Linked DNA regions of Kluyveromyces lactis. The protein of the gene in region 5 interacts with the protein of the main gene of each other region in a biochemical or structural test. Links are inferred from orthologs where the notes say so. Each region holds a gene or a part of one and is shown on either strand. Other genes may lie near its edges. The genes, in order: OTU1, DDI1, CUE5, SSM4, UBI4, UBP2 and GTS1.

What was found.
Region 1: of the proteins of UBI4 (region 5) and OTU1, one has a biochemical effect on the other in vitro, tested with the Saccharomyces cerevisiae proteins (3 studies listed by BioGRID, with this or other methods). The link is inferred for Kluyveromyces lactis from reciprocal best matches to the Saccharomyces cerevisiae genes UBI4 and OTU1.
Region 2: the proteins of UBI4 (region 5) and DDI1 form a complex in vitro, tested with the Saccharomyces cerevisiae proteins (8 studies listed by BioGRID, with this or other methods). The link is inferred for Kluyveromyces lactis from reciprocal best matches to the Saccharomyces cerevisiae genes UBI4 and DDI1.
Region 3: the proteins of UBI4 (region 5) and CUE5 form a complex in vitro, tested with the Saccharomyces cerevisiae proteins (5 studies listed by BioGRID). The link is inferred for Kluyveromyces lactis from reciprocal best matches to the Saccharomyces cerevisiae genes UBI4 and CUE5.
Region 4: of the proteins of UBI4 (region 5) and SSM4, one has a biochemical effect on the other in vitro, tested with the Saccharomyces cerevisiae proteins (2 studies listed by BioGRID). The link is inferred for Kluyveromyces lactis from reciprocal best matches to the Saccharomyces cerevisiae genes UBI4 and SSM4.
Region 6: of the proteins of UBI4 (region 5) and UBP2, one has a biochemical effect on the other in vitro, tested with the Saccharomyces cerevisiae proteins (3 studies listed by BioGRID, with this or other methods). The link is inferred for Kluyveromyces lactis from reciprocal best matches to the Saccharomyces cerevisiae genes UBI4 and UBP2.
Region 7: the proteins of UBI4 (region 5) and GTS1 form a complex in vitro, tested with the Saccharomyces cerevisiae proteins (2 studies listed by BioGRID). The link is inferred for Kluyveromyces lactis from reciprocal best matches to the Saccharomyces cerevisiae genes UBI4 and GTS1.

What each region holds. Positions count from the first base shown.
Region 1 is NC_006040.1:484,366-487,212, reverse strand, and holds OTU1 (ubiquitin-specific protease OTU1), read right to left. Parts: upstream 1,461-2,847; coding exon 501-1,460; downstream 1-500. Other genes in the region: BUD20 (Bud20p), read left to right, coding at 1-334; RFU1 (Rfu1p), read left to right, coding at 1,947-2,516; LAM6 (Lam6p), read right to left, coding at 2,760-2,847. UniProt on the Saccharomyces cerevisiae protein: Hydrolase that can remove conjugated ubiquitin from proteins and may therefore play an important regulatory role at the level of protein turnover by preventing degradation.
Region 2 is NC_006041.1:910,648-913,867, reverse strand, and holds DDI1 (Ddi1p), read left to right. Parts: upstream 1-1,475; coding exon 1,476-2,720; downstream 2,721-3,220. Other genes in the region: COX15 (Cox15p), read left to right, coding at 1-257; MAG1 (DNA-3-methyladenine glycosylase II), read right to left, coding at 455-1,285; OCA6 (protein-tyrosine-phosphatase), read right to left, coding at 2,818-3,220. UniProt on the Saccharomyces cerevisiae protein: Aspartic protease. Appears to act as negative regulator of constitutive exocytosis. May act at the level of secretory vesicle docking and fusion as a competitive inhibitor of SNARE assembly.
Region 3 is NC_006042.1:1,483,883-1,487,030, forward strand, and holds CUE5 (ubiquitin-binding protein CUE5), read right to left. Parts: upstream 1,785-3,148; coding exon 501-1,784; downstream 1-500. Other genes in the region: hydroxyacylglutathione hydrolase GLO4, read right to left, coding at 2,524-3,148. UniProt on the Saccharomyces cerevisiae protein: Connects the ubiquitin pathway to autophagy by functioning as a ubiquitin-ATG8 adapter and thus mediating autophagic clearance of ubiquitin conjugates under starvation conditions.
Region 4 is NC_006042.1:2,566,262-2,570,231, forward strand, and holds SSM4 (E3 ubiquitin-protein ligase SSM4), read right to left. Parts: upstream 2,801-3,970; coding exon 29-2,800; downstream 1-28. Other genes in the region: KLLA0_F27709g (uncharacterized protein), read right to left, coding at 3,309-3,970. UniProt on the Saccharomyces cerevisiae protein: E3 ubiquitin-protein ligase which accepts ubiquitin specifically from endoplasmic reticulum-associated UBC6 and UBC7 E2 ligases, and transfers it to substrates promoting their degradation.
Region 5 is NC_006041.1:74,448-77,487, reverse strand, and holds UBI4 (ubiquitin), read left to right. Parts: upstream 1-1,394; coding exon 1,395-2,540; downstream 2,541-3,040. Other genes in the region: ECM29 (Ecm29p), read right to left, coding at 2,804-3,040. UniProt on the Saccharomyces cerevisiae protein: Ubiquitin exists either covalently attached to another protein, or free (unanchored).
Region 6 is NC_006041.1:219,510-223,487, forward strand, and holds the start of UBP2 (ubiquitin-specific protease UBP2), read right to left. Parts: upstream 2,801-3,978; coding exon 1-2,800. Other genes in the region: FRQ1 (frequenin), read left to right, coding at 3,738-3,978. UniProt on the Saccharomyces cerevisiae protein: Has an ATP-independent isopeptidase activity, cleaving at the C-terminus of the ubiquitin moiety in natural or engineered linear fusion proteins, irrespective of their size or the presence of an N-terminal extension to ubiquitin.
Region 7 is NC_006039.1:1,495,902-1,498,896, reverse strand, and holds GTS1 (Gts1p), read right to left. Parts: upstream 1,653-2,995; coding exon 501-1,652; downstream 1-500. Other genes in the region: MND1 (Mnd1p), read left to right, coding at 2,341-2,995. UniProt on the Saccharomyces cerevisiae protein: Appears to modulate the timing of budding to obtain an appropriate cell size independent of the DNA replication cycle. Transcription factor involved in both heat resistance and flocculation.

The DNA.
Region 1 (2,847 bases), on a different chromosome or scaffold from region 5:
TTTCGAAACTGCATATGCCTTAAAGACTCATTTGAAGACTAAAATCCATAAGAGAAGGGTGAAGGAATTGAAAGGTGTTCCATACACTCAACAGGTAGCAGATGCTGCTGTTGGGTGTGGTGTGAACTCGTTCTTGGCTAGAGTAGAGCAGATCAAATCTCAAATTGGTCCTCAAAAGGAGGAAAACGAAAAGATATTAACCTCACATCTTGATACCACTTTGGCCAACGTCAGCACAACAGAATCCACTTTGCCATACCTTGATGGTGCAGTACAGGAACAAGCACAGCAAGAAGCTGTAGTTGCTGAAGGGGAAATTCAAATGGCTGATTAGATGCAGGAAAACATTTTCACTTCCTGTGCTTTTTCTTCAATGTATATTATCATTTAACACAAGAGAAATACACCGAAAGTGCAATTATATAAACTGGTAGATATACAGACGCTCATATATTAAGTGCTATTTCTTTCTTCAATATTATTCAATGGTTATATTTGTTTTATTTTTGCCTAAAATCAACATGACCAGTTTTCTCAGCGTGCTTGCTCACCTCTCGTTCTCCAATCAAGGTGGTGCCACAAGTATTGCATAAAATTGAATCTCTTGCAGTATTGAAAGACTTCCCCTCTCTTTTCATCTTCTTCGCGATCTCCTGTGTTTTTTGTAAAAGGAATTCAGTATCTTTCTCTCCGATGTCAAATACAGTTTGATGCTGAGTTCCATCAAATATCTCTACCGTATCATAATGAACTCCGTTATATGCTATAATAATAAATTTATCGTATAAATCCTCGTTGAATTTCTCGAATTTACGTGCATCCACATCGAGCACGTATATCGCATACTGAAAATGTTTCGATAATATTGCAATCTCGATACCACCTCCCCATGAAGAATGTTTCATTATCCACTCACTGTATTCATGATTCGGCCTGCCAAGAATAGCATCTGAATATTCAAATGGGTCTCTCCGGACTTCTGACGCCACAACTCCCCGTAGTTCTGATGACAGTGAAATGTTCTTGTAGACAGCATAGGATATAGCATGGAATAGACACGAATTGTCATCGGGCACTTCATGGAGTTGTAGTGCTCTAGTTGAATCTATCTGTACACTTTCAGATTTACCAGTGGGCTTCTTTTTCACTTCTTTATTGGGTAGTGTATTTGCTTTACTGGCATTAATACTTGGTTGTGTTCTGGTGGCAATAGCTTCATCGGCTTTACTCAGGCTCACTATGATCCGTTCCCCATTGCATATTCCTAGCTCTTCAAGTGTCTTAGCCTCATTCCCCTGAAAAAGTATACTCTGAGGTGGGAATCCGTACCGCATACTCTGCAATGATAGATCATCTTCATATGAGGACAGAATGAGTCCCTGAAATGTTTCCAAATCACATTCGGCTTCGACAGTTAAAACTTTGTCGCTCTTCCCAGAAATAGATACCTTGACCCTCATCTGCGAATAGGAAATATATTAAGTCTCGTTTAGCGGTGGTTATTCGACAGATATATATGGAAATGCTATGGCTATCCTCTTGGGGATGGATAGATAGTCTGTTGTTCTATCCGATTTTCCCCTTATTGCTTAGGCACTTAGAGGATTCCAAAAACAGATCACATGCTCAAGTGAAATTAACCCGTACATCACAGCAAACATTTTTCTTTGCATGCAAGAACAGTAAACGTCAAAACCACAACGAGATGAGATGAGATGACAGGTTGAGTGCATGAAGAAATAATGGAACTTTTAGTTTATTGGCACCAGTGGTGGATCAGCTGCTGTTGGGCAAGCGTTGTGTCAGCTTGAGTTATAGATGCGATTTGGAAAATAGGAGAAGAACCCGTTAAACTGAATAATCTTTTTAAATCCCAGCTTTTTCCTTTTACTCGAAAGAATATACGGTACCCGAATTAATTAAACACTGCTACTCCATCTGATACAATGAAATCCAGTTCACACTTAAAGCAAGAAGCTCTTAATTATAGATTCAATTCAAATGTGCCTCTGAAATTGTATCTGACAACTTGCATTAGCATTGTCGAGGAAGCTCAAAATAGTGCCAGGTGCAATAATATGGAGCGCGCATATCTTCTTTATATTAGATACTTAGATCTTTGTCTGAATAGACTTGTGCATCATTCAGAAGTTAACACATCAGTGGAATCGTTATACAAAAGAGAATACTTCCAACTGCTGAAGTTGGAAGTCCCTGCTATCATGAAGATTACTGAGGAATTGAAAATCAAAATAGATGCAAGATACAAGTCATTGGCAAACAATGTTGCGACATCGACCTACGTGAGATCGCCGGCTGTCATGACGACAAATCCTTCGGATGAAATTAATCTTCCGAGTTCCTTTGATGAACAAAAATTCAACCAATCTATAAGTTGGTTTAATCACAGTTCAAAGCATTTTTCAGCACAGTCAGACTCTAACAATGAATATCCCGAATTACCAGAACTCAATGCGACATCCACGTCGGTCACATATACCATGCCAGCATTATAGATTTATCTTTACTAATTTAGCATCTCCTTGCATATAGTCACCTATACACTAATTTTACCTTGTTTTCCGCGTTTAACATTTACGCATTTCAGTTTCATCATCAGTCATTACAGATATTCATAAATGTTACAAATACTATGAGAAAAATGTTATTACCTTTGAACTAGATACCAGATACAGTGTTTCGGATGATGAAGACTAGAACCTCTCATTTCATGTTAGGGTCATATCTTTACTAAACTGTCATTCCTCGTTGGACATTGGAAGTTCGTTGTAAACATTGAGTATATCTTTAATCTCCTCAATCACGGAAGCACTATTCGTGTTCATC
Region 2 (3,220 bases), about 840 kb from region 5:
GTACTGCTCATGGTATGATGGGTCTTGCCACTTTACAAGTCACTCTAGGTATTTTTACCTTGTTATATTTGGTTCCAATCCCTCTAGCTTCTGCTCACCAAGCTGGTGCCTTGGCATTATTGACAGGTTCATTGTTGTTTGCTTCTCAATTGAGAAAACCAAGAGCCGCAATTAGAATCCTCACCGGTGGACTCTATACACAACAGCAAAAGGCCTCTTCTAAAATCTTAACTGAGGCTTCCAAACTTGCGAAGTGATCTTGGGAACTACGAATGGATCCTTTTTTTTCAATTATTTTCTTGTTTGTCCCCTTTACTTCCTATTTATTATAAACACTGGGCAGCACATTAAATGTTATCTTGTAAATATATATACTCAAAAGTTGCTACCAGTGAACTCCTACCTTACTTTAAAGTGTACTGTTTATACACAGCAATTACAATGCCTCTAATTATTACTTCGACATAAACCTTTTCTCATTATTGATGACAACTTCCATGTTAGTATCCGACATTCTCCAAAGAACGAACATAAATAACGTTCTATGGGGGCTAAATAAATCACCACAGAGCTCAACCACGTCTTCATCGTGGATTTTCCACTTGAAACTCTTGTGCTTTATTTTTGATTTCTTGATAAGAGTCCGCTTGCTGTGAAGCTTCTTTAAGATCTCTGGTCGTTGTTCCAAGTACCTTGAACATCCCCTTGCGATTCCCAAATCTTCAGCTGCAAATACATTTAAGCGATGTAAACCTGTAACTAAAAACATCTTCGCTGACCACGGTCCGATACCCTTGATATTTGCGACTAGCTCTTCGATGATTTTATCATCGTCTGCAAAGGCAAAGAGATCTTTTATAGAATCCTCGTTATTGAAAAAATATCCAACCAAGGACTCAATATACATCAGCTTCCTTTGAGATAACCCACATTCCTTAAAAGCTTGTTTCTTCTTCGAGTCTTGGAATGTTTCGTGCAGTGTCTGATAATTAGGAAAAGTTCCATCAAACATATCTACGATCCTGCCTCGAATATTCTTCGCAGCTGCACCACTGATCTGCTGTGAAATGATGCTACCTGCCAATTTATTAAAATAAAGGTCCATCGAATCCTTGGCCACATTTTCCTTGAGAAACATGGTGAAAGGACTATGCTCAATGATTTCTTTTAATGTGGGGTCAATAGTTAAGATATGTTCTATTCCATCACGGAATGAATCAATGTGCTGATCCAGATATTCTTGGTCCACATCCACCTTGAGGATATCATCCCTTGTCCTTTTCATTTCAATATAGCCTTGGCGACACTTTTGTCCGTTCTTTCTTTCTTTACTTTCGAGAAGTTGTTTTAAGGTTCTCTGACATATAAGATTCCTTTATTAATCAAGATCAACTTTAATTATCAATTATCACTTTATTCAATGGAAAATAAACACTAAAACTGAAAGTTACCATTACTAGGCAACCGTATCAGAGATGAACATCACCGTCACTTATGAGCACTCTGATGATGTCCTTGGACCTTTTGAATTGAGTGAAGATATGTCGCTTATCGACCTTTTCGCATTGATAGACTTTAAAGAGGAATCTCAGATCATATTTCACAACATGAAGCAACTTGACACTAAGAACACGAATATAACTTTGAAAGAGGCTGGCTTACAAAACCATGATATGCTTTTGATAAAACCTAAGAATCCCGCTAGTTCCCAGGCAGCTTTCGGTCAACCTCAGGAGATCGATTTGACGGATGAACAGTACATTGAACAGTTCAGGACTTTCCTATTAGAGAATCCAAGTATGGCTCAAGAGATGGGTCTTCCAAACTTAGAACATATGATAAATAATAAAACCCAATTTCATCAACTACTAGGTCCGGTGTTACTTTCCAGACGTGGTGAAAGATCAAATAACCCATTCGGTATCCCAAATTCTGAATACTCAAGATTAATGAGCAACCCTGATGATCCTGTGAATCAAGCACGGATTTCGGAGTTGACCAACCAACATGAGATTGATGAGCAATTACGATATGCGATGGAATATACTCCGGAGTCTTTTACCCAAGTGTCAATGTTGTATATAAAATTAGAAATCAATGGCCACCCAGTCAAAGCGTTCGTTGATTCTGGTGCTCAACAGACTATAATGTCAACAAAATTGGCAGAAAGAACAGGGTTGACCTCTCTAATTGATAAAAGGTTCAGTGGTATAGCTCAGGGTGTTGGTACGGGCAAAATTCTCGGGAGAATCCATACGACTCAAATCAAAATCCACGACGTGTTCTTGCCTTGTAGTTTTACCGTACTTGACACTCCAATGGAAATGTTGTTGGGTTTGGACATGTTAAGAAGACATCAGGCATCTATAGATTTGAAGAACAATGTATTGAGAATATCAGATGTTGAGACCCCATTCTTGCCTGAATCTGAAATTCCAAAGGACTCCCTTCATGCACTGACAACTCCAGCAGCTGACGAAGTAAGAAAGGCAGCGTTGAAGAGGGACTCATCTTCAGGAAAAAATGCTATGACTGGCGATGCAAACAAAGTCAAGCAGCCAAAGATTCCAAGTTCTACCACAAATCAAACTGTTCCATCGTTCGCAGAATCAGACATAAAAAAATTAGTGGATCTTGGTTTCTCTAGGAAAGAAGCTATCAATGCATTGAATAAAACTGGTGGAAACGTGGACTATGCAGCTTCCCTTTTGTTTCAATAAGCAGGTATTGACCCAAAACTCTGCGCGCAGACTATTCTCTCTATTAATACTGAAAGAGTATGTAATGTACACAAAGTAGTATCAGATAATATAACAATCAATCATCATGGAACCTAAGTGTTGGCAAAGGATCTTTTGAAGCGGATAGCTGCGGTGTTAGATCGAGGTTCTCATCGCTCTTTCCGTTCTGATGTTTCGCACCTTTATCCTGTTTCGAACCCGTGGCCCCATTGTGCTTAGATCTGACTATTATCCAAGACACTTTGTCCGAAGGTTTCACACCTTGAATATCTATCTCCAGATTGAAGTTCTCGATGAAGTTTCTTTCATGTATATTTATGCTAGACGTGTATGTCATGTACTCGTTGAATATCGATACAGTGCTCCAATAAGAGAGCTTTCGTAGACATGCTATGACTAGCGATGTGACTTCCGTGTTCGAGTTCGAACAATGGATGTAACAAGGATAATGGTTCTTGTCGATCAAAAACTTGATACAT
Region 3 (3,148 bases), on a different chromosome or scaffold from region 5:
TTTAGTAACAGGGAAAAACTGAAAATTTTATTGGTCTTTCCTATATAAGAGGATGAGATGATGTCCTTCATAAGAAGTAGCCGAGTTTCCTCTACGTGGCTGGAACATTGAACGAACAGGAATAAGTGAAGGGTAGGTGCCACACATATTCTTGTCTCTGAATACGTTCAGTTGTGATGGTTCAATTACATCTTGATTTGTGTGTTTTTTTATCTTTTGAAGGATCAAAAGAATCATTACTGAATGTGGATTCATGTAAAATGTCTTACCTAACTAAACACAGGTATCCCCTCGAGATGATGAGATATATCATTATTAACCTTATCTACATTATCTGAAAGTTTAAATTTCAATTGAAGATAAACATGTACAACAATAGCTGAATTTTTTTAAAATACTCGATGTGGTGACAACTGTGTTCTGGAAGTAGTAAATATACGTCTTGTTGCTTGAGGAAATAATATTTAAGTAGTGGTCAGTTGTACAAACACAACCTGCGATTAAATATCCAAATCAGAATCTGTGATAATATCTTGATCTTCTAACGTGATTGGCCCTTCTGTGTTCTTATTGCTTGCAGTTGGAGTTACAAGCTTTACATCGGATTTTTCTTCGGTTGAGGCAGTTTTGTCCGTGCTTGTGTTTAATTTAGAAGTGGGTGTGGATCTTGTTGGAGATTCACTGTGCGGTGCCAAGGTTTTCAAAGGAGAACGGTTATTCTTACCCCTTACTTGTTCTGGAGTGTCTATGTATGTTGTCTCTGCTACGACTTTCTTGGCCCTTGATGGTAATTGGGGTGGGATATCGTCATCAGATCCAAAATCTAGATCATCGTTGTGCAATGAGATCCCAGCATTTTGTAATTTCGTTTGGCCATCGACGTTGTCATTGCCATCACGGTAACGATCTCCGAAGGAGTTAAACCTCGACTGAGAATATTTTGGACGGGATTCGGAATAATTTGGATCGTCATCCACCAGATTCTTGGTGATGCCACTGAACCATGTACTGATCTTTTTACCAGTTTCCTGGATATTACGGTTCAAATTTTCACGAATCTGGGGTAACTCCTTATCGACGAAATTACTGAACACATCGTCTTCACCGTCATCTTCGAAATTGTCATAGCCGTCAGAATCACGTCTTCCCTTTGGTGGAATTGCACCTGCTCCGTACCTCCTCTCGTAATCACGTTCACGTTGTCTGATTCTACGCTCGCGTGCGGTTCTCTCCGAAGCGCTATTGCCATGTTTGTTGAATTTCTTATCCAATTGACGAGCCAATTCTTCGTCCTGCTCTAACTGCGTTTTTGGCTCACGTCTTACACCACGAGTTGGCGCTTGCACCGGTCTAGTTGGTAATGGAGCCTCTTTTTCAAAGTCAGGGTCCGATATGAATAAAAGAGCGTTGAAAGCAGGATCCAACTGGCCCTGAGAAGCAATTAACACTGCCTTCACATATTTCTCCTCAATGTTTGGGAACGCTTCCTTCAATTGTTTTAACATAGGATTTTCCTTTTCACTCTGTTCTTCTGGAGAAACCGATTTTCTTACAGGCAAGGGAGGTGCTGAATCGTCCTCGTCCTCCTGACCGTGATCTTGCCCTTCCTCCTGTTTTTCAGCTTTTTTCACGTTCTCTGTTTCGGTTTCAGTGTCTGCTGGAACTTCTGCTTCTACATTTGAAGCCTTAGTTGCCGCTTCTTCAACTGTTTCCTTGACATCTTCGATCTTCTTGTCTTCATTAGAATCAACGTCAATTGCGACGTCTTCAACTTTGTCACTCATGGTTATATTAGATCTTTCTAATCAAAAAGAATTTGCACCTGTAATTTATCTTCTTCTAATATCCTGGTTGGTTCTGTAATTGAATATTGGCGAGATTCTGCACGGATATGTTCTAATAGGGGTTCTGGTTTTGCAGTCCTAAAGAATCTATATATATTCTTCCTATAATTCCTATTTCTTTCCCACATCATCCTGTCCATTCGGTTATCCGGGTAAGGGCCTTATTTTTTTTCACTTTTTCATCTCATCACGTCAAAGTTGAAGAAAATAGTTTGGACTATATAAAGAGGAAGACTTTAAAGAGGTGCTTGTAATCTCTCTTAATACTATATCACTCTGTCATTTTACCTTTATAGATCTTGATATATTTGTTTTTTTTTCCTAACTCCTCGGAATCTTATTATTCTCTGTTTAGATAAGAACTTGGCGATCAGGGGTCCTTCTAACCTGATACATCGTCGAGCGTGGACAACAGAGAGAAATTAGATGCCGTTGGTTAAAAAAAACTTTCTGGCATATAGTTTAACATAGGGCTGAATTCGTGCCGGCTTGCTGGTTCGTATGAACTGGATGTTTTGCATCCAGGCTCTTAAGACTCGAAAATTTTGGGATGGGTTTCTAAGATCGCTCTATGTTTCACGCACATTTTCACTTAAGCCTATTTTTTTACCGTAGATCACTCATAAACGAATTGTAAGGCGTTACTTAATAAATACATATAGTGTGGACATGTCATGTATCATGCCTTGTTCTTCATGTTTCTTAACTTGTCCATAACTTGGGCTCTGGTCCAACAACCTTGAGAATCTCCGACTTGTCTTCTAACAATTGGATCATCAAGTCTCATAAAGGGATTGAATGATAGTTCATCGGCAATGGTAAAGTGACCAGTGGTGACTTCGTGTTCCTTGGTAAAAGATTCCAATTTATTGAAATGGTCGTTATCGCTTTTCTTCAAGTATATGTAATTGCGGATGAAACTTACGTTTCCTGCAGTATACTCATGACCTGGATATACTTTCACATTCTTCCAATTGGAAGTATCTCCTGTATTCCCTAGTAGTCTGAAGTTCAATGCATCGTCCATTTCTTCAGCAGTTCCTTCGAAAAACCTCCCACATCCACCAGTGAACAAAGTGTCACCGGTGAAGATTGCTTGTTCTTTGGTTTCAGGGTCACGCACGTAGTAACAAGTGGAATCTTGGGTATGGCAAGGTGTTCTAATACACAAGATTTTCAAGTTCCCCAAGGTGTATTCATGTAAGTTATCTGGGATATCATTCGCAATTGGAGAACGTTGAGAACCGGCAATGACTCGAGATATATTATTGCCCTTTTCATTCAAGGCTGCAAGTGTTGACACA
Region 4 (3,970 bases), on a different chromosome or scaffold from region 5:
ATCTATAAAGACATCTTGACTGATCAAACTATTCTTCAAAGTTTTTTAGTATCCTTCCTCTTGCATACACTTCGTCTCTCACACTTTGAGATAAAGAATTGTAAAGCGACTTGGATAAAATTGAGCTCACAGTTAGGAACGCCGAGGAAATCGTCACTACATCAACGTAGTAGAATGCCTTTTGAAATGTAGTCATAAGGGAATGATCTGCCGAGACAGAAGGCTGTATGAAAATGAAATAAACAAATGGTGCCCATGAAGAGGTGTAAACTTGTTTGTGGGTAAGGAATTCAAACATAGAAAAACTATATTGCAGAGCAAAAGGTACCGCAATCATTGCAACGAGGTACACAAAGCATATATCCGTGACCCTAATGAGTAATCTTCTGAATCCTAATGTTTTATTCCGCTTCAAACTGCACTGTACCGCGATGTACGCCACTGCTGCTACTTGACAAAACAATAGAGCAGCTATTAATGAGTAAGCTGAATAGCCGCTGTATTCTGATTTTGATGCGAGGTTCGAAAGGAATGGAACAAACGATATATCAGGGCTTGTGTTTTCGAGAACGTCGCCTTTCCAGTAGAAATCTTTGAAGTAGGTGAATATGAAGACCGAATGATAATTGATATTCAACTTGAAAATGATTGGCATAAAGTAGAATGTAAAGACTGGATACACCATTGTTACAAAGCCTTTGATCAAGTTCCAAACATCACCTTCAGCAATTTCCGGTACTCTAAATTCATTGGCTACTGGATTTTCATCATTTTCGGGAATATTATCATCATTGTGAACTATATGCTGATGATTATCGTCGTTTGGACCGTTATTTGGAACATCCCCATTGTGTTCGGCATTAACCTCCAATATTCTGTCATTTAGATGGATATTATTTAATAGATGTGCGTGGTAGGATGACAAAGCGAGAGACAAAAGTATCATACCAGAAGAAACGGAAAGAAGATTTAATGGTTTTACACTTTCATAGAGTTCATTTTGAAATTTCATTGCTGGGGGGATAACCGCATTCAACAATAATTGCAATCCAGTGATAATGGGAAGCCCAGCAAAATTTGAGATTAATAACACAGCAGTAAACAAAAGGGAAGCAAAGATCCATATGAAGACAATTAACAGCGAATAAGTGAAAGTAAAATGCGGAGGGACATAAACTACCTTATATTCATCAAATTCCGTGGGCTGTTTTTCTAGGTAGCCAAATTCTCCGGCATTTCGTTTCTGTCTTTCTTTGATTTTTTCGATATCCAATGGCTTTAGAAGTTTGTCATCCTTAGTAACTGGGACGAACAACAATTGTGCATATTTTTTTGATATTATGTCGCTCGCAGGTACGCGCATCATGGTGCCATCGGGGACAAAATATGCGTGAACATCAGGAATAGTTTTGAAAAGAGTATAGGTTTCATCGAGCGATTTTGGATGAGAGTATAATTCTAGGTTGGACAGTTTTGCCTTGTTTGGGACGAACCATTTATAGTAAAAGTTCCTATAAATAACATGTCCTCTCTCAGTTGGTGAATCTTTTCCTAAGATGAAAGAGGAAAGTCTTAGTTTTCTGCAGCATATATTGAATACAAAGACCCAATATTGTCTAACATAAGCATCAATAACTCTATTCTTCGAGAGAATGAGATACGTTCCAGCAATGACTGCAATAGAAAACATAGAATTTGGTTTTATGAGAGTTGACAATCCATGCTTCATAGGTAAAAGTTCCGAATGTAAAATGTAAGGAAACAAAAGTCTCGTATGAAATCCAAAACCTACTAAAATGAATGCTGTATAGATTGCCATCGACAATGCAAGTCTGGAGAGTTGAAGTTTCATTGGGTATATCAAAGAATCCTGTAATAGCTTAATATTAGGATCATCTGGTGATCTTATGAAGAAAAGAACACCCGGTCTGATAATATATTGTCTTACCATGCCGACATATTGAGCAAAATGATACATATAAACAGTACCAATCGCCCAATAAATAATAAATGTCATAGGCGGCCAAAAGGAACAAAAACTCGGTACGAAAGTCAAGCTGCTCTGTGGTAATAATAGCGGTGAGATCAGTGACACATCAATCAAAAACCCCGCTAAAATCGGAAATCCGGCAAGTTCAAGTGTAAACAACCCTAGCACTTTCAATGTGCACTTGATGATATAGGAAAACTTGAAAATCGTTCTTTTCAAAGAATTCTTTAGAGGTAGCTTCTTGGAATGCCCTCTAGATAACAGTTCTGGTATACAGCAACAAAGAACTATGAAAGTCGCATATGTACTGGCTGGCGCCAACATTCGTACCAGCATCGTATGTTTTGCTGTGCCTTTCATGTATCCCTGATAGTACGATACTATTGGCATTAAAACTGTCCCATTAATCCAATTTTCAACGTAGGATACCAAAGAAAAAGTTTCTATAAGCTTTTGATTGTATTCTGGGATATTTAACCTCTCTGCTGACACTATTACTCCATTCAGCATTATAATCACAACTCTAAAATAAATGAAATTCAACAGATATCCGACAAGTGTGGCTAAAGCGTATGAAATGAAAAGATATCCACCAATGACAGAAAAGACTAAGGAAAAGTAGCTCGGTAAATATTTGTAATCAAGATTTAAATTCAAGATAGCCGTAGGTTGACCATCTTCATTCTCTAGTACAACCGCTGGTTGAGCATTTATTCCATCTTCTTGTACTTCTCCTTCAACAGGCTGAGGTCGTCCGAGTTGAGCATCCAACCGCCCATCGAGTTCTCTTTGTGCAAAGTGTCTTTCCATAATGGATTGTGAATTAAAAGTACAGTCGATTAATAACTCAGCTAATTGGTAATGATATGAATATGTTGCAGAAGAAATATGATATTGTGATCAGAAGAAAAGAGTAATGCAGGGATCTAATGCGGAAAACTCAAGTTGAAGATTCAGTTTCTATGATATAATTATTCAACTTCAACAGCTATACAATTGTAGCAAAGATTAAATATTGTTAACCTGTTGTACTTAGTTGTGAAACGAGATCAGTCGACGATGTATATACTGATTGTCTGCGCCCATGTTGAAATTTCCTTCTTCAAATTTCAATTTCCATTATAAGCCGGGTAATACCAAATTCATCTTTGAGAATCTAATGGGCTAGCATGTTTTACTAAAGCAAGTGAATGATTTGATGGGACAACGAGGGAATTATATTGTATATAGAAGTTTATTTCGAACTGGAGTGAAGGCTGATGCAATGTTTCAATATGAAGATTATCAATATCGTAAATATTTAAATGGGGGATTATAGTTAGTTGGCAAGCTGAGGCTCATCATTATTTTCGTTTACGATGAAATTGTTCTGTTCTTGTTCGTCTTCTGAAGTATCATCTTCATTTGGATCGTCTTGTCGTTGTCTATTGAGGGCATTTATGAGCATGCTTATATCATTTGGATCCATATTTGGAAATCTTTCTCTTAATGACTGCATGGCCAGCTCTTGTTTTGAAAATCTTGGTCCAATCTTATGCAAGATCATCTTATTGAAAATTGGCTCTCTGACTACCATATCATATTGTAAATATGCGATAGCATGCACGATCAAAACCATCAGAATTTGTAACAACGAAAATCTGTAATTTATCACTAGTTGATATAAAATATCCGTAGTTGTTGGATTTTTTGGTATGTTTCTTTCAAAGCCATAAATCAAATTGATATACCATTTGTTATTTGAAGGAAATGAAAAATCATCCACAGTAGCCGTATATAGCTTCCCCCAGATATTCCAGGACAGGGGAATTCCAATGAAGAAAAGGAACGCAATCAATGTGAATTTGAAATAGTGATTTAATTTGCCAAAGATTTTGAAAACGCTATGTTTCAGAAGAAGTAGAAGTGGGATCTTCTCTGGCATTGATTCATCATACAAAGTTTGGAACGCGATTGGATGATTACAAATCGAACATACCA
Region 5 (3,040 bases):
TTCCTGTTTTTGTTTGTGCTGTCTCCCCTTTTCACTATCGATACGAGAAAAAAGTACAGAAATTGTTGCATTTTCTTCTAAATTCGACTAAATTAAATGCCGCTCAATCGCCTACGGCAGCCTACATGCCTATCAGAGAACTTCTTGGACTCCTTACTTAATGAAGTCCCTTTCCTCGGATGCTGAATGGAGAAAGACCATACAGCTCAATATGATGGAAAGTGTCACCTGAGTATACGACAAAGGCGTTAAGAACACCGCTATCATAAAAAGAGTCGAAAAAAAAGTGTCATCTAGGACTATAAGACAAGTAATATCGAAGAGATTCTGGGCAGTCCGAATTATCCCGCCAGGAACCTCAATGACAGAGATATTTGGCCTGGGTATGTTCCGGGAGCATCTGAAAGGTCAAGAATGAATTTAGGAGAAGCCAGGCAGATAAAATATGATGTATGTTACCCTGATTTAATCACGTGGATGACTTCGAGTCACTTTTTTCGTCTGTCTGTATCTTAGATTCTCCCCGCAAGTCTAAAAAAAAAGGATAAACTTCATTGTTCCATGAGTTTCCATGGTTACCTCTGCATATACACACTGTACTGCAGAAGGTATCAGTGGATACAAAGCGGTATGCTCTTTACTCTGAACAATCAAAGTTAGCAGTTCATTCCATATATCCCCGCTCTTCGTCATGCAATCATAAACCTCAAGTCATGGCGATCTGTAAGCCGGAGAAAAGATTCATTGCAAACAGTTAAAGATACAAGGCTGAAATACAGAGATGGCTGCAACGTAACAGATTCCAAACTGCCGGTTTTCCATCGAATTCCCTCTCGGGAAATTTTTCTTTTCAAACGGCCACCTTAGGCCGAGCGAAACTGATTACACTGGATGCTTTTATATAAATAGTGATCACTTGGGCGGCCGCCTTTTTTTCTCTCGTATTTGCCACTTCTGATTGTTCTTTCCCCCGTTTATTCTCTAAATACGTTTATCTTTTTCTAAGATATTATTCGGGTTAGATACTATTACTACCTATATCGCATTCATATATCTATTCTGAAAGTTTGGACAGCATAGCAGCTATCATTATTGTTCTTATTTTCATTTTTTGTGCTATATTCTCCGTTATTAGTAAGAACTGATAGGGAGATAAAATAAAAGAAATAAGCGAACAAGTTCCTTTTTTTTTAAAAAAAAAAGGGAGTATATATAAAAACAAAAGGGTTATTTTGGCAGTTTGTTTCCTGATATTATTAACAACATCATATTGGTTAAGAAGGAGCATCAAGAGTTTCTCTCATAGAAGATACTGACTCAAGGTTATACTATTTCACCCCAAATTATTTACCCCCCCCCCTCTCATTCCCCTTAAAACTAGATCAAGAGAAAACATGCAAATTTTCGTTAAGACTTTAACTGGTAAGACTATCACTTTGGAAGTTGAATCTTCTGACACCATCGATAACGTGAAATCGAAGATTCAAGACAAAGAAGGTATCCCTCCAGACCAACAAAGATTAATTTTTGCAGGTAAGCAGTTGGAAGATGGCAGAACCTTGTCTGACTATAACATCCAAAAGGAATCCACTTTACATCTTGTCTTGAGATTAAGAGGTGGTATGCAAATTTTCGTCAAAACCTTGACTGGTAAGACCATCACTTTGGAAGTCGAATCTTCCGACACCATCGATAACGTCAAGTCTAAGATTCAAGACAAAGAAGGTATCCCTCCAGACCAACAAAGATTAATTTTTGCAGGTAAGCAGTTGGAAGATGGCAGAACCTTGTCCGATTACAACATCCAAAAAGAATCCACTTTGCATCTTGTTTTGAGATTAAGAGGTGGTATGCAAATTTTCGTCAAAACCTTAACCGGTAAGACCATCACTTTGGAAGTCGAATCTTCCGACACCATCGATAACGTCAAGTCTAAGATTCAAGACAAAGAAGGTATCCCTCCAGACCAACAAAGATTAATTTTTGCAGGTAAGCAGTTGGAAGATGGCAGAACCTTGTCCGATTACAACATCCAAAAAGAATCCACTTTGCATCTTGTTTTGAGATTAAGAGGTGGTATGCAAATTTTCGTCAAAACCTTAACCGGTAAGACCATCACTTTGGAAGTCGAATCTTCCGACACCATCGATAACGTCAAGTCTAAGATTCAAGACAAAGAAGGTATCCCTCCAGACCAACAAAGATTAATTTTTGCAGGTAAGCAGTTGGAAGATGGCAGAACCTTGTCTGACTATAACATCCAAAAGGAATCCACTTTACATCTTGTCTTGAGATTAAGAGGTGGTATGCAAATTTTCGTCAAAACCTTGACTGGTAAGACCATCACTTTGGAAGTCGAATCTTCCGACACCATCGATAACGTCAAGTCTAAGATTCAAGACAAAGAAGGTATTCCTCCAGACCAACAAAGATTAATTTTTGCAGGTAAGCAGTTGGAAGATGGCAGAACCTTGTCTGACTATAACATCCAAAAGGAATCCACTTTACATCTTGTCTTGAGATTAAGAGGTGGCATCTAATGGTAAAGATTTATTTCATATTTCCGATTACTGGAGTGAAACTCGATAGGGAGTTTATTAACGAGCTTGAGACCACGCAAAGCCGTTGTATCATTTATACTCAATTCAATTTTTTTTTTTTTTGCATTTTTTTTTTTTCCTTACATTCTTTGGATAAAAAGTTTAGGGTCTTGTATATATTATATACATTTTCAGAGATACATAACAACTATGATAATGTTATAAATAGTAGAAGATAGTAATATATCATCCGTTGGCAATTTCTACTGAGATATTCCAATATTTAAAGCTTCAGCTTTCAATACTGAGGAGTCATCCACTCTAAGAATCTCCAAAATGCCAAAGTCGACCATGGTATTGGTGTGGGGGAACTTTTCTTTCAATAGCCCACCATACCTTATCAGCTTTATCTTGACACTTTCAATAACTTCTTTCTTGTTGCATAGAGCGTGGCCATATTTCCAGATATCAATGAAAATGTGAGATACATCATTTGAGGA
Region 6 (3,978 bases), about 150 kb from region 5:
CCTCATCATTGACTGGTATCAAGTCCTGTTTAATTCTACCGTAAAACAACTGTTTGACAAGATCATTCTGTTCCAAGTCGTCTTCCAAGCTCAAAGGTTCTGAAGCAATCTCAAGCTGAGCCAAGACGTTACCTATACATTCTGTAACATCTTGTTGTCTTCCGATCTCCAATGTATTTTCAAGTTGGTCCGCACTGATTTTAGCAACTTGGACGGAATATTGCTGTGTTCCTGCTTCTGACGATGTTTTATGTTCGGGGAGCGCAACCGGGCTCTGGCACATTATGATATCATCATCACAAGACGCTAGGTGACGAGTAGTATCAGTGGGGTCTTCGACGACGTCAGTTGTTAAGTCGATGAGTTCTTTCTGGGCAACAGTATCGTCACCGAACTCCACCTCGACATTACTCGGAGCAAAGGCTAAGTAGACCAACTCTTTTGTGGGCGTGACGCATCTACTGTTTGTGTGGATCATGTCATTGAACAAATCACGAAGATGGTAGACAAACTGGACCGATCTAAGCTCTTCTTGTTTGCTGACCTCCCTGCCTCCAATTCTTCTTCTAGAGTGATATTCAGACGCATCCAGTAATTTAGCAGAGTCATCATCATAATTCAAAATAAAATCACGTAGAGGTTTGATAGTGAAAAAGAATTGAAGTAGTGAGTTTAGGTAGCATGTATTTCCCACATTATTGATTCCAGCTGGCCATGTAGCAACAGGAAGACAACTTACGTCCACAATACCGGTGTCTAAAAAGTGGTTGATAAGTTTACTATTTCTAGTAAAACCAATATTCTGAAGGGCCATTTTCAACTTCAATAGATAATCAGGACCTGTCATAATTCCGTGACTCCATTTCTTTTGAAAAACTTCAAGGATGACATCGTCGCTTGCATTCATGTCAATTTCAATGATGTTCAATGCTTCATCGTATGATATGTCAGTGCAGTTGTAATATTGCGCAAATTCTGGACATTCATCTGTCAAGACATTCAAAAGAAATATTGAGCGCCTATCTAGTGCTATTGTAAAAATCGCCCGATCATAATCTTTTTTCAAACCAGGGGCATCAGCAATATTGATCGTATATGCAGTTTGGATAATATCATCATCTACTGTCTCGTCTACCTTTAAAAGAGTGTAAGCTTGTTGTACATTATAATATGGTTCATACTCCACCAAAAACAACATCTTTTGACTACCTAAATATTTTCCTAGCACACGTAGGGCATTTCTTAGATCTTTTCTTTGATTATCAGAGCTCCTTAATAGATGAGAATTGTAATATTCAATCATCGTATTGGCATCAAGGAGGCTTGCGTCAATGTCAGTTGGATCTAAACCAAATACCTGTAATGCATTATTCAAATCTTCATACCCAACAACATCTTGTTTTCCACAGTAAGCAATAAGCTGGTAACTACCCTTTGCGTTTGTTACATATTGGAGAGCATCAAAATAATGGCTGATGTTTTCCTGATCAAGTGCAATTTGAGTTTCATAGTTTTTAATGATATCCTTATCGATGTACTTAAAAGCAACAGATAGGTTAATAAAATGGTAATTTATGTCGTAGGGGAATGGTTCAATGTGTTGGTGGTTCAAAATATTGAACCACCATGTGTGACTGGCACTAAAATGTTGATTAGAAAAGCACTTTGCCACTGTCTTCTTTTCAGTACCAAGTTCATTTTCAAGTAGCATCGACTGCTTACCAATTAAAACAACCTCCATGGATTTTCTGGTATACGCCTCTCTAATCCCTCTGACCTTAAAATCTGTGATATAATCAACTAAATCTGGTGGCTTATATTCCTCTCCAGATTGGACATTATCTTCTACAGCGGTCTTCTGCAAACTGAAATCAAACATTGTCGTTAACCAGTCAGTATTAATTTGTGAGTTGAGTGCAACACTATCCCTGGAAATAATCTTAAACTCACTATTAGCAGATTTCCTCTGTAATGGGTTCTTAAATATCATGAAAAGAGTTTTCAAACACTCGGCTTGGCTAGGAATATCGTCCGGGTTCAATAAATCAAATTCTTGACATGCATTTTTATATCTTTCCTCAATTTTTGCTGTTCGATATTCAGCTAGGTTCTCTGAATTAAATTCTGGTTTTATTATCTCAACAAGTATAAGTTTATTAGTATCAGCAGAAACAAATATACTTTGGTCTACTAATCTACAGTCTTTCTCTTCCATTATAAAGATATCCCTTTTGTCGAATGGATGTAAAGATTCAGGCTCTAAAACATGATAATGAGTTATCCCAACGTGTCTATTGAAATTTTCCAAGTATGATCTCCTTTTCACAGTAATCTTCAAATGAAAGAAGTATTCAGGAAACTTGTCAATGTCATCAAAGTCATTAGGAGTAAAATTCGGATCTACCAGCAATGCGAACATAACACTGATGGTATTCTTCCCTGGACAAGTCATTGAATCATAATCATATCTGCTTCTCAAATTAACCTGGTCAATTAAATGCACTAGGTTCCACGGTTGCAATTGCTGTCTTTCCCTCGAGTACTGAAGCATTGGTTGTTTCATCACAGATGAACCAAACTTCTTCAAGAACCATGGTGAAATCCTAATGTCATCTAAAATTCGATCGCATGTTTTGAACGGAAAACTTTTCGAAATATCTCCGTACAAAAGCGTCTTACCATCGTCTACTAAATCTGAAAATGATTCCAACGACTTAGATCTCAGTACTTCTGCTGTTTCCGAAACAGAATCTCTCTGTTCGCCATTCAATTCTAAAGCTGGTTCTTGTGAAGCCATCATCAATTCGAGATTCTATTCTCTGCCAAGCTATCCTCAAATTGTCACAATATACTGTAGCGTGTCAAATGTATCAGAATTGAATCACTGGGAGTATTAGAACGAGCCTAGAAGTGGCAAATAGATATTTTTAATTATGCATTTGCCAAAGGATTGAAGATCTAGTTTTCCTTAAAATTTAATGCAATTACTATTCTGATTCTACTTAATTCTTTTGTTACCCTTTAAAATTTGTCAATAGTGGAAATCTGTAGACAGAACCACAATGAGTGTGTGGTGTACGGATTTATACTCACAGTTTTAAATTTAAACGCATTTATGGCGGTACAAAGGGCATTAAAATGAGTCAAAAAGGGCCTCTATTCAAATTACCTATGCCCTGTTTGATGTAACAGCATTGCTATTATTCCGAAAAGACTGAAACAGCTTTACAACTTGTTTTTCTGAGTACTACGTAAACTATAATTTATAACTCAATGTAACCTATTCAACCTTTGAATGTTGAAATAGGTTCATAAAATCCAGAACTTTAAAACGCAGTCGTTGAGTTAAAAAGAGGAAAAATAGTTCGATCAGTGGCACCGCTTCATAGTGAGCATCTGAAGAATTTTAGTAGTCGTTACTTGAACACCAACAAGCAAAGTAGAAGAGGAACGGTCATCTCTGTCACTGTTTCTATCGTTACTTTTAGAGAATCATCTATGACGGACTTCACAAGCCACTTTCCTACAACGAAATCTGTAAACTGCAGAAGAGAGAAAAACATAATTAAAAAAAAACCAATATAAAAGATGTTGCATGAGGAGTTGAAAAATTTAGGGAGGAAGAGCTTCAGGGTCTAGTCAATATCTTTTCCGAAACTGATCATAGGTAGCTTATAGTGGCGTTTGATCACAGTAAGTGTTAAGATATATACTATCCATGGAATAACAATAATAAGATGGGAAATAAAACGTCTACACTTTCAAAGAATGATTTGACCAGTTTGAAGCAATCTACGTATTTCGATCGCAGAGAGATCCAACAGTGGCACAAAGGGTTTCTACGGGATTGCCCGAACGGCCAGCTAACTAGAGAAGAGTTCATCAAGATATACAAACAATTTTTCCCCTTTGGCTCGCCAGATGAGTTTGCTACGTATGTGTTTAGCGTGTTTGACAAGGATAATAATGGATCCATTG
Region 7 (2,995 bases), on a different chromosome or scaffold from region 5:
TTACAAGGGGGGGCGTTCTTATTTCTTATAAATGGTTTTTAAGGATCAAAACTTAGTTTGTAATAAGTCATTTTGAACTTTATATAGAAATAAAGAAACAAAGAAGGAAAGACAGATATATCGCAGAAAACGTACACAGTAAAGGCAGTGGAAAGACACTGGTGCTTGGTGGAACGGTTTTAAGAAAACGCTCGTTAAGTGCAAATAAGATATGATTGGTTATGAGTCAATGGGAGGTTTTTTTTTTGATGGTCAGTAAGATAATAGTGGTGATAGCTAGGTAGTAAGTAGATCGTGGATGTTCCGGATAAGAGTGTATAGCAGACGTTGTGAAACGTCAGAGGAGGAAGACAAAGTTAGATATTAGTTGTAGCGGTGTTTTGGTTTTAGCCATATTTACGTATTATATAGGCAAACATAGGTATGAGAGATTAAACCGTAGTGCGGTAGCAGATGTGCAGTTGCAGCTGCAGCTGCAAAGAAGGCCAAGGGATGATGATCTATTGGAATGGGGGGTAGAATTGTTGTTGGTACTGTTGTGGTTGTTGGTATTGCATTTGTTGTAACTGTTGTTGCTGCAGGAGCTGTTGCTGTTGCTGCTGTTGTAGCTGCTGTTGTTGTAGCAGTTGCTGTTGCTGCTGTTGTTGGTCCTGCTGTTGTTTTTGGAGATTCAGGATCTGTTGGTATTGTGGATTATCCGGTTTGATTTCTACGGCACTAGAATATAAATCTGGTCTTTGATACAGTGATAATAGTGTGTTCTTATCTATCGATGGTTGAGCAGTGAATTGAGGCTGTACCTGTTGGGTGAACTGAGGTTGTAATTGCTGTGTGAATTGGGGTTGCACTTGTTGTGTAAACTGAGGTTGAACCTGTTGTGTAAACTGAGGTTGAACTTGTTGTGCCAATGCTTGTACCTGGGCCTGCTGCATTGCCGCATAGGAGTTTTGATCTACATAAATTTGGCCGGTAGTTGGATCATAGTATTGTTGTACCCCATCGAATACTGCTGGGCGAGGTTCTGCCGATGCTGTACTAGGTAGGCTTGGTTCACTTGTTCCATCGAAAACGGCTTCTTGCACTTTGTTGTCCGGCCTTTTTGGAAGCGGAGGTCTGTCTCCTTCTCTTGATCTTGGTCTACTGCTGGCAGATGAGGCAGAACGGTTTCTTCTGGACCCGGACGCAGATGATGGGCGGGATGACTTGTAGTCCAATTGTGACGAATCATCCTCTAGATTGAAATCTTCCACCTTGACAGCGGTATGTCTGAACTTACCCTTTAAATATTTATCCCTGATAAACATTTCAACGGCAGTACGATCCTCGTCACCGTCAAATGGGAAAGGTTCTTTCTTAGGGTTCCAAAAACTGCTGTTATGTTTGTTTCCTCCAAGATCGGCAACAGTTTGAACGTCACGCTTAGACCATCTATCAAGAGATAAAGATTTCACGATACTAGTAGCACCATCTTCTCTGCTGCCTAACACTTTCCTATGTACGGAAGCACACCGACCGCACAAGAATACACCCAAGTTCACTGAACAGTAGGTAGGGAATGGTGTCCCACATTCACCACATTTATTTGAATTCTCACCAGCGTTAAGCAAAAACTTTAAATCATGTTCTACAGATTCACCTCTTGATCGTCTCATTTTTGGTTTCCTCGCTTCAGTATCTCCTCAATAAACCTTACCTAAACTCGACTAGTCCAATTTGGGACCCCTATTTGATATAAACGTAATTCTAGCGTTGGGTCTTTATAATCTTATAATATGAAGTATTTTTTTTTATTTTCAATATCCGTTCTTCACTTTCACCATTTTATGCTTCGTTCATTCATAGAACTTCTGTTCCTGTTCGGAATTTCAACCGCATAGAATATTTCAAGAGCTATTTTTGTTCAACAAACGTAAGTCTATTGGAAGCAGTCAGTACGATATACCATCTTGGATACCTTTTGAATAATGACGTGATAGACAGGCTTAAGCTATGTACTATCATATTGCCTCAGGAGAGTTTATTCTCACGTGGTCTGTCATTTAGCCGGAGAATAGGATCTATTTTAATGTTTCGTATATAGCAGCTAACCGCCTCCCCAATTATAAGCAACCATGGCTATTAATATGGCATCTCTGAATTGATTCAATTACTCTCGATTCTGATACTTCTTTCACCAAAATATGTTACTGTTTATAAATTTCCCCATGGAAAATGACATTTCGTCTTCTTTTATATATTTTTATCAAGGTTCAGCGGTTAAAAACAAACAGAAGAAGAACCATCATCACATCAAAGACATCAGCTTCAATTAAGTCTATTAAAAGGTTCAAATAATTCAACATGGCCCCAGGTAAGAATACCGTTTCGCTTGCCGAGAAAAAAGCACGTATCCTAAGGTTTTTCCAAGAAGAACATACCGTATACAACATGAAGGAATTAGAGAAATATATCCCCAAGAAATGTGGCATATCTTCCATGTTAGTGAAGGTATTAGTACAAAAGATGATTGATGAAGATGGATTGATCAGTGTGGAAAAGTGTGGGAACATTAACGTGTATTGGTCTTTCAAAAATCAGATGCAAAATAAGTTGAATAGCGACGCCAGTAACATAGAGAAAAGAATAGAGCATGAGAAAAGTGAAATTGCTCGGTGTCAGGAATTGTATCAGAAGGAAATTCAAGGCCAGAGGAGTGATACGTTGAAGAATAGACGCGGCTGGAAAAGAAGTGCACAGCTAAGTAAATTGAAAGAGGTTCAAAAGACAATTCGTGAATTGAACTCCAAATATGAAGAATTATCCAAAAATAACTGGACTCCACAGCGCATCAAACAGGAGAAACATAATTTGTTTGAAAAGGCAAGTTTTGCTGTAGGTCTTGCAGATAACATTGATTGCATCACTGGGCATATCTCATCTACGTATTGTGTTCAAATGTCTGATTTGAAAGTTGAGTTGGAGCTTCCTAATGAATTCAATCAATTTGAAACAATAC